3 separate regions of the Mus musculus genome follow, and all the other regions are reported to be linked to region 1. Evidence: microRNA targets listed by miRTarBase, many of them from high-throughput screens and not tested one by one. Region 1 holds a microRNA gene; each other region holds the end of a gene's coding sequence. Distances are between the middles of the regions.

Region 1 (5,112 bases):
AGGGAAAGAAGCTGAGGAGGAGGGTGACCCTATTGGAAGACCAGCAGTCTCAACTAACCTGGAACCCTGGGATCTCTCAGACGCTGAGCCACCAACCAGGCCAATACACCAGCTGATATGAGGCCCCTAACACATGTACAGCTGAGGACTGCCAGGTCTGGACTCAGAAAAGATGCACCTAACCATAGAGAGACTTGGGGCACCAGGGAGAAGGGAGGTCTGGTGAGGTGACTGGTTGGGGACATCCTCTTAGAGAAAGGCAAGGGAGGTGTGGGATGTGGAACAGTTGGAGGGTGGGGCAGGAGGGGAAAAATAAAAAGACATTATTTCACCTAAATCTGGGTGATTATTTATAGGCACTTGAGAGAAATACTGTGAACTTTCCTCCACCCAGTGTGGTGCCATGAAATTTCATGTGAGTAATCCCAGTCTAGATAATGCACTGCACATGAAAAGACTTTAATATGAATTCCATACAAATAAAGTTTTCATCATTCACTTCAATTTCCATCAGGTTACCAAACAAACACGATACCCACACACTGGCATAATTTATTACTGTATCCTAGAGATATATGGGGCTTAATTTGTCTTACAGTAGATCCTCTGTGTCTTTATTTTCTAAGAATAGCTAACGTTGAAAATAACCTATTTGTTATTACTTTCATTTTTGTACTTGTTTGAATTTTAATGTTCTTTCTTTTTTACTAACCTTTAGTAACTACTGTTAAAGGAAAATTCCACCCTGAATTTCTTGACAATGGTTGAGGTAAAGATGAATGACAACAAACAATGAACTCATGGAAATACAGAATCAACTATACTATGCCCTATTGTATGAGCAAGTAACTATCCACCATGAAAACATGGATGGCAAAAACAAAACAAAACAAAACAAAACACACAAAAAAAAAAACTGCTTGGTACTTTTCTGAGGAGGACAGTGCACATGGCATTGTGTTATTTGCACTGACTCCATCATATTCTTCAGCCTTAATCTAGTCAGTATAGCATGACATATAAGCATTGTAACACTTATTTCACATATTCTGGGCATCAATAGTCATAAAGACTTTCACCTTGCATCTGTTACTATATATCTTTTAATTACAACACATTTACCTGATATTGTTTTCACTACAAGGAAAAATATAATCTCCTTTATGTCGATCTGTAAAGGCTCATGAGGAAATAAATCCTATTTAAAAAGTCTGGGTTTTGCAAGTATCATCAGAAAACCTAAGGTTAAGGAAAATGCTTCAAGACCACTTACACTATCCCTTCCAGAACCCTGATCTTATGAGAATCATACAAGCTTGACTCTACCCAGAGAGTACCTGGCTACATTCATTTAATCCTACCAGCACCAATTTGCGACTGTCCAGGGCATATTTAATGAGTAGGTCATTTCCTAGACTTCTCCATGACACCCAGTAATAATGCACATTGGATTCTTCTTGTAATCTATTGAAAGCATCAGGAGAATTGCCCACTTATTAGTTACCTTATCTTTAAATTATATTAGATTATATCAATTGCCATTTCCTTAGATGAATGACAGTAAAAAGATATGAACTTTTATTTGCTATTTCTTCTTTATATACAAACTATTTTAATATTCTTTATCATTTTGCTTGAAAATGTACAAACATTATTATAGGCATATAATTGAAAATATACTGAGGATGAATAATTTAGTCGGGCCTGACTAACTCATTTTATATAGCCTATGAATTACTATTATGAGGCTAAGAATGGATAATTAAAACATTTTGAAAATAAGCAAATGATCTACAGGGTCTAAAGCTAATTATAAATATCCAGGAAGACACAACATGGGTGATTTCATCTACACCTACATTATCATCCAAAAGCCATTAAAAAGAGGTAAAGATAAGCCTTCCTCTACCCAGAGAGCTACTGTATACTTGCAGTTCATTTGAATAGCCCCACTGTGGGAAAAGAAATACACAAAAGACAATGTGGATCTGGTACACCAGGAATTTCTACCTTTCTGTTCATCTTTCATCACAGCACTAAAAAAACATAAACCTATACCAACTTATGACTTATTCATAATTTCAGAGATAACAAGATATTCTCTCTCACCATTGACTTCTATTTAACGGATCCCTTAAGTTCCATTCTATGTGAATGACTGTGTCAACTTGGAATGAAGATGTGCGGTTTTCTTTATTACCATTTTAATTATACTTCCTCATTTTCGAATCTACTCTTTTTAATTTTTTAATCTAACTTACTGGTAATAACATTAAAAATTATTCATTGATGTACCAAATTCACTCTGAAAATTCCTAATAGGCAGGTAGTGAACAAGAAAAACTTGTATCAACATATTTTCTAATGGACCAAAACATGTATCACAATCATGACTGATCTGCTGTGATAAAAATTAGACTTCCTCATACTTACTGTGTTTAGAGAAGAATCACACACCTCCACCACCACACTTCATTCAAGGAAACAAATATATATTCCTTTACATTATATTTTTCTCTCTGGATGCTCTGGACTCTTGTTTGTTTGTCTAATTGTCAAAATTAAGTATATAAAATTGTATTCATTTCATGTTTTTACCTGTAGTATAAAGGTACTTAGTATCCTCCAATTTTATCTTCTATGAACTGTAAGTGCTCCTGAGTTGTGATTTCTAGAAAAGAAAATATTTTCTATAATTATAGATGCTACAGGAATCAAATGACAAGCTGAAATTATGGAAGGCATGTAACATTCTTCGAAGTATATACTACCATGAACATCCAGGGTCAAATCACTTGAAGAATATAGTGAGCATTACATTATCCAGAATGGTGCCAGTCATATGTATTTCACATGACTGGCACTAATCTGAATAGAGCACTGCACACAACTCACACAACATAGATTTGTCAATGCCCCAGCCTTAATCTTACTAGAGCTATTTATGAGCCACAGACAACAAACCCAGTTTCACCTGGAATTTTCAGAAAAAAAGATTCTCATGGATCCTATCTTCCTGTCAAGAGTTGAGTCATGAAAATAAGCCTTTTTTAGTTTTCCACTAATTGTATTAGAATGTCTTTAACAAATTATCAGAACTTTTAACCAAATTACTTCCTCTGAAAAAAACTTTAAATATAATACTCAATAGTCCAAATAAGTAAATGAGGTGATTTGTGATATTTCCTGTGAGCAGAAAAGCCATCATAAGTATATTTTATCTCTCTGTCTGCCTATTTTTTCCTTTTTCTATTGATTTAATATAGCACATTATTTTAGGACAGTATTATCTCATTGTAGTACTTTATATGCCCCAATACAGGGGAATGCCAGGGCCAAGAACCAGGAGTGGATGGGTAGGGGAGCAGGGAGGAGGGAGGGTATAGGGAACTTTCGGGATAGCATTTGAAATGTATATAAAGAAAATATCTAATAAAAAATAAAACAAACAAACAAAAAACAAAAAAAAACCCCAAATGTCTATTTTTATTTATTCACTTTCCATTCCTAACACTGCCACCCCAATCCTTCCTCCCTTTCTTCCCTGATGGCGGGGGGGGGGGGTAGGTGGTTGGGTAAAATCCCACCCTAGTATACCAAGTTTCTGCCAGGCTAGACACACTCTCTTTGATGAAGGACAGAAGGCAACCGATTAGGGGAATGGATTTCGTAGACAGGCAACAGCATTAGCAATAGTTCCAGCTGTTAGGACCCACATGAAGATCAAGCTGCCCATCTGCTTCATATGTACGGAGAGGCCTAGGTTCAGCCTGTGTATGCTCCTTGGTTGGTAGCTCAGTCTCTAAGTGCCCCAAGGGTCCAGGTTAGTGAATTCTCTTGGTCTTCCTGTGGAGTTCCTATCCTCCTTCAGGTCCCAAGATCTTTACTTCTGTTCTTCCATTAAGAGCCCACAAGTTCCATCTACTGTTTGGCTGTGACTGTCTGAGTCAACTGCTGGGTAGAGCCTCTCAGAAGACAGCCATGCTAGACTTCTGTCTGCAAGATAACAGAGTATCATGAAGAGTGTCAGGGATTGGTACTTAACCATGGGATAGGTCTCTAGTTGGCCAGTTATTGGTTGGCCATTTCCTTAGGCTCTGCTCCATCCCTGTCCCTGCATTTCTTGCAGACAGGATAACATTTGAAATGAAAGTTTTGTGTGTAGATTGGTGTCCCTGCCTGGCTACAGCAGATGGCCTCTTCAGGTTCCATCTTCAGGTTCCATATTCCCAATGCTGTGAGTCACAGCTAAGATCACCCCCACTGACTCTTAGGAACCTGCCCTATCCTAGTTCTCTGGTGCATTTTTTTTAGTATTTTATTGAATATATTTGCATTAATATGACAAGATAAATCGGCCTGAAATTCTTTTTCTTAGTTAGCAGTATTCCTTCTGCTTCTATTTTGTGCAATAGTCTGAGCAGTACTGGCATTAGCTCTTTCTTTAAAAGCCTGGTAGAATTCTGCACTAAAACCACCTGGGCTTTTTTCTTTTGATAACTGTTTCCCTTTCCTTAAGTGTTATAGGGATGTTTCAATAGTTTACTTGATCTTGATTGAACTTTGGAAATAGGTATCTTTCTAAAATGTCTTACAATCTGTTAAAGATTTTCCAAATTTATGTAGAACAGGCTTTTAAAGTAAGAGCTAATGATTCTTTGAATTTATTCAATTTTATTTGTTAATGTCTCCCTTTTTAATTCTGATTTTGTTTATTTGGATACTGAAAGTAGGGAAACCTCACAATGGGCCGAACAGGGCCATAGCTACTTTCCATTTTTTATGGAGGTCCCTTCATATGCTAATAGCCTGGCACCTCCCAACAGTGGGATAGTTGGCTACTCCAGAGCTTGTATCAATACCCCATTGGTCCAAAAGCTGTATAAAAACACTTGCAAATGCACAATACATTAGATCTGTACTCAGTGATGATCTCTAGAGTTGATTTCCCCAACTCCACTTGCCAAAACTGCTCCTGAATTCTGGTTCATCCCACAAAATAGGTTAGAACAGATAATACACTAAATGTACAAAATAAAGAAAAAACTGCAACCACAAAAAGGCCAGGTATAATCTGAAGAATAATTTATCAATATTATACCTGCCTTTTCA
Region 2 (5,112 bases), not on the chromosome of region 1:
TCCACACACCTCTGCAGACCTCTCTCCCTATGCAGTTCTAGCCTTTCTCCCACATCCAGAAGGAGCGCAGACCGAGGCCCAAAAGAGGGTGCTTGGGAGACTCACCCCAACCCCTGCTAGACAGCTGATTGTTCCTGCCCCTTATTCTCTGTTGCCCGCCCCTCCTGACTTTCAGACAAAGGTGGGTGAAGTTCTTTTCAAGTTTCAAAGGCAGTTGCTAGGCAGCTCTGCTGAGACAATAACTCTTTTATTGGGAACAAATGTTGACATTTGACGGGCGCAGGAGGCAGCACCCAAGCCAGCAGCTTGGTGCACCCCCCCCCCCAACCGTGCTCTCGTCAATGCCCCGGCCCTCGGGCCCACCTGAGATTAAAGCGCGAATTCTGATAAATCGGCTCTAATGAAATCCGGTCTGTGGAGGGCCTTCTGCCCTTCTGGCTGCAGCGGCCAGACTACGCGAATGCGGGGCCCAATAGTCAGCAGCGCGCCCGGGCATGCAGGCAGTCTGTAATTCAGTGTGGCTGCCCTGCCAGAGCTCTGTGGGGCCCATTTCTCCACGGAAGTCACTTCCCTACATGGGGATTCTCCTTCTCTTCTCTTCTCTTCTCTTCTCTTCTCTTCTCTTCTCTTCTCTTCTCTTCTCTTCTCTTCTCTTCTCTTCTCTTCTCTTCTCTTCTCTTCTCTTCTCTTCTCTTCTCTCTCCCTCCCTCCCTCCCTCCCTCCCTCCCTTCCTCCCTCCCTCTCTCCCTCTCTTTAGTCCCCCTAAACACACCTGCAATTTTATGTTCCTCGAGCTTATTTAAAAATCAAGTTCTCCAGTAAGATATTCAGGTCGGGAGGGAGGTGGGTAAGCTATGGAAATCTCTGATAATTTGTTGGGCATATAAACATCAAAGCAGCTTCATTAGCTTTGGCTAATCTCCTGAGGCCTCTGGGATGTCACAGAGAGAAACAAAACACGCCAGCCTTCTGGAACCGGGTGAAGGTCTGGAGCCCTTTTGCTGCAAAAGGGACCCAGTAAGTCCAGGTAAGAAAAATTTCCTGAGATCCACTTTGGTCACACTGCCAGCTTTCTAATTCTGGGCACATGCAAGAAGGACATTTGGGCTTGGCAGTCACACTATAGCCAAACTTCTGCCTAAAATGATGCCTGTTCATTAGAGTTATCTTGGGCATTTTGTTTGTTAGATCTTGTTAATTTTCCTACCTCCCTCCTAAAATTTTCAAAAGACTCAAGTCACAACGTTACATGTGACAGAGATACTGCCACTCTGCCCTTTTAGTTCTCTGCTGATTTGTGAACATGGCCTACACCAATAGAGAAGGGCCAGGAGGGCCAGGCCATTTGTTACTGCTGTACTGCAGCATAAAGTGGATCTGGAAGGAGAGATGGTTATCTCTGCAAATCCTAAGAAACTGAAACAAACAACAAAAAGACAACGAGACTACCCTCTGACTCCCCAACCCAGGAATCTCCCAGACTAGCAAGGGTCTCTGTTGAATTAATTAATTTGCATATATATATATAATCTTCTCTTTTTACCTCAAGAGCTCAGCTCAAAACATCTCCATTCCCAACCCAGGGAGGCAGGGAGGGGAGGAGAGAAAAGTATCTCATACCAGATACCAGAAACTGACTTTAGGTCTGAACCCTGAGTGCCCATGCATTTCAAACCCATCCCTAAAGCCCAAGCGGCCTTCATTTCCCCCTCCATAGGCACCCGACTTAGTGCCTCCCCAGGCCAGCCTGCTGGGGCTTTGCTTCAAGTACCTCAGATGACTTTCCAATACCCTTTCTAACAAGACCCCAGCAAGAGGCCACTAATTTCTATGGCACAAAAAGCCACTGGAGAGAGATCCTTTTGTCAATAGCAACTGGCCTACAATTTCCCATCCTCAGCCACATCAGCCTATCGGAGCTGGCAGATGTTTAGACAAGATTTTATAAATCGTTCAATCTCAGCCCATAATGAACCCCAACTGACCATTCCAGAGCAGCCCAAAGCACCAGAGACCTCCCCCGCTGGGCTCCAATAACGCTCCCCTGCCGCACTGTTATTAATCATGGGATGAAATAGGTGAGCCTCTTGAAAAATAAGTGTATGATTGATTAAAGGGCAATCTAAGGAGCCATTATTCTTGCTTTATAAACGTAAGTTATATTCACTCAATTTATCTTTGCAGAGGAAATAAATGATTGTTCGTTTCTTCACCGAAATTTTATTATATGGGTATCTACATAATTTGAGAAAAGCTGAAGTGACAGAGTGGTTGCTTTTATGATACTAATCAAAGGGGCTGGGCTATTTGGCTGCAAATTCCAGGCTGGTCCTGTAATTAGGAGGTGAGTAGACAATAAAGAGACAATGTCTGAGGATGTTTAAACTTTTCTTTTCCCTGAGGGTAAGGGTAAGCAGAGTGCCACAGTAAAGAATCTAACTTCCCGCCCCCTCCTGTTAGTGGGAGCTGAACAGAAAGAAAAAGTAAAGGGTTCTTCAGTAAATGTGCTTGATCTATGTCAACTGAGATACTGCAGGCTGAGGAAAACAAGTGTCCCCATCAGTCATTCCCTGGGGGAGGACTCTCCAGTATCAGTGGGAGGACCCGATCCAGCACCACAAAAGAAGATGAAAAGCAGAGAGGTGGCATATCCTTTTATTTTGTTTTCTTCCATGTTTTAGAAATTTACACTAAGTAGGGATTTGCATATTCAGAGAACAAAAAAAAACCTGAATTACTTTCTGGAAACACATTTCTATGTGAATAAACTGGAACCGTAGGTATCTCCCTGTTGTACATTAATTTCTCTCAGGTCTGCAGTTTTTCAAATAAGCTCAAGAAGGACGTTTATTTCACTGGCTCTTCACTTAAAAGGTGAGGTAGGACCACCTTTGGGGCAGGAACCAGGGCTACCGCTGGAGCTTCTACCCAAATGGGTCTCCAGTAAAAATGAGCCCCAAACACCATTTTCTTGTAGGCGCGTCTGTTTTTATTTACAGTTTTAGATATAAATTAATAGGAGAACTGATGTTAAACAACCAACAGAGATTGTATAACCAGCAATGTTCAAATAAAAACCAGGCAGAATTTATTTACAAAAGTTTTAGATTTCATTGCAATACAACTTGCATAAATTACTAGAAGCTTTATATCATTATAAAAATAAATATCAAATTTGTTTCCACTTCTGAAGGACTCAAGTTCTTCAATCACGTTAGTTCTACCGTGTACATTTTTTTTTACAAATAAATTTTACAGCAAGTCCTATCACACCTATAGAATATATACCGTGGCAATGAAGTGATGAGGATATCCTGAGAAAAAACAGATTGTTTCCAAAAGTCACACAAACATAGGGAAGCTATACTATGACAACAAGTTCTCATATGCCCAAACAACGTGTGTCCAGTCCTTAGAGTCTGTGGGTTGGCAGTGCAGTGTGCATCCTCTTATACAGTGGCACAAAATGTGGTCCGGGTTTCCACATCTGGGGTTTGTATCTGTGTATTTATGAACTTGGGAAGGGAGAATAGCCTCCTGACTTTTTTTTCCAAAGCAATTGTGACACCTACCTGTGGACCAAGGAAAAGACCAAATTATCCCAAATTCTTCAGTTCCATGTCAACACATCACAACATTCAAGCTTGTGTCTACTGGCTCTGCCTCTTTGCCATCTTTAGTGGCTAGAACTAGTAATGTTGTCTAGTTTTAAATTTTTGTAACAGCTCTGGGCTAGAACTAGAGTCCACAGTGTCCATGTGGATACTGAACACCAAGTAGCAGGCCCATGAAAGACCAGGCCTGCTGGTGTCTTTTTAGTCTTATTCTGAAAGCAATATCCATTTCAGGCAAAATACCCACTTTTCTGCACAACTCACTCATCAGACAAGGTGTCCTTTATGTGTCTAAAAGAGTTTTGAAGCACACAGAGATGCCCAAATCTTTGAAACCACCATCATCAACCAACAACACAGTGGTTGTGTGTGTGTGTGTGTGTGTTCTGTTTAGAGAAGTGATTCTACAAAGCAGGACTTGAGCAGAAAAGAAAAAAAAACTATAACACAGAAGGCAAAGAGGCTAGAAGAAAGCCAATACTCTATTCTCCAGCAAAACCACACCACACTGCACAGGACAAGGACTTGGGGGCTAGAGGATGCAGAGGGAACCCACTTACTTGCACTGCTGACCTTGGCCCTCCTATAGGTAGGTCTGGACGCCTGCACCAACAACTGCACAGCCCTCACTGGTATCTGTCAGGGGAGGGGCAGTTAGTGAGGACAGGCTACAGCCCCTGGCAGCTAAGCACCTCCCAGCTCTTATCCCTGCAAGGGACACATACTCCCGGGGCATCTAAGATCCACGTTATTTATGCTCCCTCCTTCTCCTTCCTTTCTTCCTCTCCTCGAGCCCCAGTCTCGGGGATGCAGAGTTAGAAACAATGGAGGTAGTGTAAGAAAATTAGGCCTCCGAGAGTTCCCAGGAACCTGTGCTTTCCTTGAGCCAAAGGCAGACAGAATCCCACTAAGCTCCATTTTTAACCAACACCACAGAAGAAAGACTACACCCACCAGGGAGACAAGCACAGATCACACTTCCTGCCAGTAAGTTTGCCAAAACAAAATAGTTACTTGATAATATTAACAGTAAATTAAATAAAGAGTAAATAAAGCAGGATAGACCGAAAAAGGAGGGCTAGCCCTTTTTGCCTTCACTCTTCAACGGGTCTCCCCACACTGGCCTCCCAAATTCTGGGTCTGACAAGAGGCTAAGTTGGTCCAAAGGTCTCACATTCCCGGCGCCCTTTCCCAGGTTTCTGGCTAGTTCTGACTACCAGAATCCCTCCCCGCGGGCCTCAGGCAGCCTACCTTTCTTGGGCTCGTAGCCGCCGCCCGGAGGCCTGTAGTGGGACTCCAGTGAATGCGAGCCCGCCTTGCCCGTGTCGCTGGCCGCCTTGGGCATGGCGTGCAGTGTCTCGCCTGGTGAGGAGGCCGCGGTATTGTACCGCAGAAGGCCCTGGCCTTGCAGCGCTGCGTTTAAGTTCCCGTAGTTTGTGTAGTTGCCATAGAAAGGGGACGTGTAATAGAGGTGGCGGCCCAGCAGGGGCGAAGCAGA
Region 3 (5,112 bases), 91 Mb from region 1:
CTAATGGGGGCTCAGATTGCTCGGTGGTTAAGAGTACTAGCTGCTCTTCCAGGACTGGAGTTCAATTCCTAGAACCTATGCCAGTTCACAACTATCTAGTACCTCCGGTTTTAAAGACCCCAACACCCCCTTCTAACCTTCAAGGATATCAGCCGCACAAGTTTAAACATATATGCATGGAAAACACCCATACACATTAAAAAATTAGAACAGTAAGCATTAAAAAAAAAAACTCTCAAGAAAGCCAATAGTGGTATAAATACTCAGGAAGTTGGAGCTGAAGAATCACAAGTTCAGGGCCTCCTTGGGCTATCAGAATTTAAAGTTTAGCCTGGACAAACTTAGTGACACCCTGAATCAAAATAAAAAGAAAATTAAGGATATAGCTCAGTGATAAGAGTACTATCATACATGAGGACCTAGGTTCAATCACCAGTACCAGTCCCGGGGTTTTGGGGGGAGGGAGGGCAGACACCCTGAGGAATCTTCTACCTACTGAAACCTAAATTTAAATTGCAGTCCTAAAAACAAGTCGGAGATACATATCCATAATCCTAGCCCCCACGATGTAGAATCGAGTTTGAGGTCATCCTCCAGCTATATAGTAAATTTAAGGCTGCTCTGGGATATATAAGATCAAAAAAAAAAAAAAAAAAGAATCTGGCTATGGAACCCTCAGGCATATTTACCCTTTGCTAGCTAACCTACTCAATGATATCAACATCTCATTTAAAACATAGTTTTGAGACTTAGCAAAACAACAGAAATGAATATGGTTTACTAGCTAAAATTATTAAATGTTAGTAATTATTTGGTAGAAAGATACTGGGCAGGGAGCTGAAGTGATGATGGCTGATCAGTTAAGGGCATTTGCTGCTCTTGTAGAGACTCTGGGTGTGAGTCTGTATGTGCTTGGCGCAGGCACTATTAGGAGGTACAGCCTTGTTAAGAATAGGTGTGCCCAGTCAGCTATTGGATGAACACAGGGCCCCCAATGGAGGAGCTAGAGAAAGTATCCAAGGAGCTAAAGGGATCTGCAACCCTATAGGTGGAACAACAATATGAACTAACCAGTACCCCAGAGCTCGTGTCTCTAGCTGCATGTGTATCAGAAGATAGACTAGCCGGCCATCACTGCAAAGAGAGGCCCATTGGACTTGCAAACTTTATATGCCCCAGTACAGGGGAACGCCAGGGCCAAAAAGGGGGAGTGGGTGGGTAGGGGAGTGGGGAGGAGGGTATGGGGGACTTTTGGGATAGCAGTGGAAATGTAAATGAGGAAAATACCTAATAAAAAATATTAAAAAAAAATAGGTGTGCCACTGTGGGTGTGGGCTTGAAAATGTTCCTCCTAGCTGCCTTCAGAATAAGACCTAGAACTCTCAGCTCCTCCATCCCCCACGCCTGCCTGGATGCTGCCATGCTCCCTCCTCAATGATAATGGACCGAGCCTCTGAACCTGTAAACCAGCCCCATTTAAATACCATCCTTATAAGAGTTGCCTTGATCATGGTGTCTCTTCACAGAAGTAAAACTCTAAGAGAATGGGTTTGGTTCCTAGCACCCACAAAGCAGCACATGGCTGCATATAACTCCAGTCCCAGGGGATCTGCCATCCTCTTCTGGCACCTGTGATATACACATATATGCAGACATACATACATATTTTCTTTTAAAAAGCAAGACTTTAAGAAAAGACAGTAGGCAACCAGGTGATCAGGTCAGGTGTTTCTTTTATGGTCACATAGCAGCTGCTGTGTAATAACAAGATAACACTGCTGACCAATTGGCCTCTAGAATAGTATGCACCCCCCCAAAAAAAATATGCTGTCAGAGGAATGTTAAGTAGCTAGTTCCACAATGAAAACAAGTACTGTTGTCTTTTCTGAGCAAGTCTTACCAGAGAGAACCCCTCAGTGGCAATAAAGTGCTTTGAAAGGGGAGCTGTTGCCAGGGTGGTGGTGGTACACGCCTGTCATCCTAGTACTCAGGAGGCAGAGGCAGGTGGATTCCTGTGAGTTCGAGGCCAGCCTGGTTTACAGAGTTCCAGGACAGCTGGGGCTACACAGAGAGCCCTGTCTGAAAACAAACCAAAAAGAAAAAAGGAAGGAGAAAGAAAACAGAACTATCAGATGAACCACCAGTGTGAGCAGCTCAGAAAGAGGCCAAGCCAGAACATAACACATATTTTCCTTCCCTTTCCCAGGCATAATGGAGACGGGATGAAATTGATCCATTTATTGAGAGACAGATGACAGGCAGAAATACAAAGTCTTGTGTCAGCAATTGTTAGGGAAAGCAAGGACATGACTATTCCAAGTCTACAGGAAGAAGCAGCACATTTGTTTATTCAGATAGTAATGTTCTAGCCCACTAAAACCACCACCAACCCAGCCTTCCCCGGCCCAGGTGGAGCTCTTTTATAAATATTCAATCACATTTCCAAGAGAAAGCAGCATTTCATGTCTTAATAAATCAATTCTTAGTATCTGCTGTGTTGAACAGAATTTAAACTCTATCCATATTTGTTTTGTCTTTCATTAAAAAAAAAGCAGGACACCATAATATATTCCACTGTTAAAAGAATCTTTCACACTACATAACACTACAGTATTAAGAAAAACAACAAATCCATTAGCATTCCTTAAGAGGCAGCCAAAGCGAAGGTGGGTCGGAGTAGAGCACAGGGTAGGGTGGGTGTTGGTTCAGTTTGCATGCTTCGGTGTCAAAATAACAAGGGCTCAAAACGGAGACCCTCCTTCAGCAAATCAGTCACATCTGAGTTCACATTTATCACTCAAGATAAAAACCTCTTTCTTCCTCCTTTCCTCAACACCACTTCCTTCATTTTATCCCAAATGCATCTCATAACCAATTAGCCTCACATAACCTTATCCTCTTCATTTCTACCACCTGGTGCTTAGCAGGAACTGAGTCACCCGAATTATGAGTGGATCTGTGGTTATGGCCTCAAGTTACTCTTCACGGATCACGCAGGTCAGTCCCCTCATTAATATTACCCCAGCAGCTGATATACTTGCTTTCTTTACTTAAATGGTAACAAGAATTAAGCTGTGTGATGGTACAAGCTCAATTCTTGTGAGCTTCCAGGAAAGCCTAGGCTACATAATAAGCTCCAGGTTAGACTGGGCTACATACATACAGTCACTGTTTCAAAAGTAATCGTAAGAATAACAGTACAGTGGGTAAGGGGCAATTGGCCTTAGCTAATATTCTAACTGTAGCAGTACATTTGTTTTCAATTCTCCACAATATACAAAGTTTTCAAAGCACTGGGGAAGAATTTGGGTGGAGAAGTGTCTACTGGGCTGTTTTTACCCTATGCATGCACCAAAAATATTGTTAAATGCATCTAATTTGAACATAACTATCAACTCCTTTTATTCTCTATTGTTTCTTCTTCCATGTCAATCTAAAACAAATGGCATAGGTTTGCGCTCACTTTTAAAGATCATTTGTCTTGTCCTGTCTTATTTGTTCCTTCCTATCTTGGGAGGGACAATGAAACTTGAGCCTGATTTCCATTAGTAAATTTTCAATGTTTTACTTGCTGTAAAAAAAAATACCATTCTACTGATACAGTGTAAATATTTTACACAAACAATAGGATAGACAATTCAAATTATCCACAATACAATGCCAAGTTGCTATTCACATGCACTTTCTTAAGAGTTAAGTTATTTTGCCACAGGACTACATGAACTCTAGTGTGCACTTGCACATCCTACAGTCTTCTCAAAGGCCTTTGGATCTCTAATCAGGGAGAGCAGTAACAGAAATCATCTTTGACTTTCACCCTTTTCAGGCAGGCAAAAATCTTCTGCTATCCTTGGAACAACTTTATAATGGGGGGGCGGCAAATATAATAGGTTGTGGATCGTTCCTCAAGGCCTTGACATTATGCTGAGTGCAGTTAACAGTCTAGATAGAATACACCTTTGCCCTAGGCCATCAGAGGTAAGAAAGAGGAAGAGAGGCTGAAATAAAGGGACAAACACCGTAAGAGGTCTCCTTTGTCATTTTAATTGAAGCACTGCTAATCACTCTTTTAAAACCTTTAAAAGCACCAAATTTTAATATCTAAGTCAATTTGGGGGTGAGAGGGGAGAAACACTATCAGGAACTTCTCTCCAGAACAAAACAATGATGTTCATTCCTCCACATGTCCAAATTAAAGGTCTACTGAAACCAAAATGAAAACCCAAACCCCACACAGAGAAAAAAAAATACTAAAATCACATTCTAGGGGGTCAGTGCATTCTGCAGTCTTTGCTGGGCTGTCTAATTGTCCTTCGGCTGACTTTTTAAAATTAACATCCTAACTCATCAAAATATACATTTTTCCCATTGGCTTTTTTAAATTAAAAATAATAATTAAAAGTGAAAACCACTAGAAGGAATTCATGAGCAGTTGCCTGACACATTTGATGGCATATACGGCATATGGAGGTCAGGAAGGTGGCTCGCAGCACACGTCATTCTCATCTTTAAGGCTTAGCTTTCTTCCAAACAGTGTAAAACACCCACCTGGACGGGAAGTCAAGGAACAAGGCAGGTCAATAAGGAAGGACAGGTACCACTTACCAGATAAGCCTACAAATTAGAAGGCGGACTCTGATTTATGGGTTTAGGTACAGCACTGTGGGGACAGCACAAAAGTTTTTGAACAAGACCACTCTGTAGCATAGGACACCCGTGCTACATACCGCGTGGGACATCTGAAAGGGGGATTGAGTGAACAAAGACTAAAGGACTGCACTCAGTTCTCTCTCTCAGGTAACACCTTCTGCTCTGAAGGTTTTCCAAAGGTTTGAAGAGTCAGTATGAAGGAAGATAGGAAAAGGATAAGATGGGATAGGAGGAAAGGAAATGGGCAAAGGGGGTGGAGTAGGCATGGTAAAGGGAGAACAGAAACGAGGGGGAAAGACTCAGAAGCTTTCTCCCAAGCCAGCCCTGCCTATTTCTCAAACCTCTAAGCACAAAAGAGAACACTAAGAGACATGGGAGCAGCGGTGATCTCCACAAGTCATTAAAGGACATGGCTGCCCAGCCAGCAGAATAGCCCCCTTTGGGCCAAAGACCTAGGCAGTT

The links. The annotated mature microRNA mmu-miR-871-5p reads UAUUCAGAUUAGUGCCAGUCAUG and lies in region 1 at 2,853-2,875, opposite strand. An mRNA with a match to its seed (bases 2 to 7 or 8) in the 3' UTR can be bound and repressed. Matches are read on the target gene's strand: a 7mer-m8 pairs with bases 2 to 8, a 7mer-A1 pairs with bases 2 to 7 and ends in A, and an 8mer does both.
Region 2: miRTarBase lists Irx2 as a target of mmu-miR-871-5p. Seed matches in the 3' UTR shown: 8mer at 2,708-2,715.
Region 3: miRTarBase lists Sms as a target of mmu-miR-871-5p. Seed matches in the 3' UTR shown: 8mer at 2,348-2,355.

Annotation. Positions count from the first base shown.
Region 1 is chrX:66,807,620-66,812,731 of GRCm38, forward strand. It overlaps Mir871 (microRNA 871), which reads right to left and starts at 2,885; the gene lies at 2,809-2,885.
Region 2 is chr13:72,631,724-72,636,835 of GRCm38, reverse strand. It overlaps Irx2 (Iroquois homeobox 2), which reads right to left. Exons shown (of 5, transcript NM_010574.4): 3 at 4,866-5,112; 4 at 4,175-4,250; 5 at 2,640-3,572. The coding sequence ends at 4,198. Among named protein-coding and RNA genes, the nearest start is that of Irx2, 5.5 kb to the right of the region's middle.
Region 3 is chrX:157,441,629-157,446,740 of GRCm38, forward strand. It overlaps Sms (spermine synthase), which reads right to left. Exons shown (of 11, transcript NM_009214.4): 11 at 2,223-4,548. The coding sequence ends at 4,509. Among named protein-coding and RNA genes, the nearest start is that of Gm24281, 14 kb to the left of the region's middle.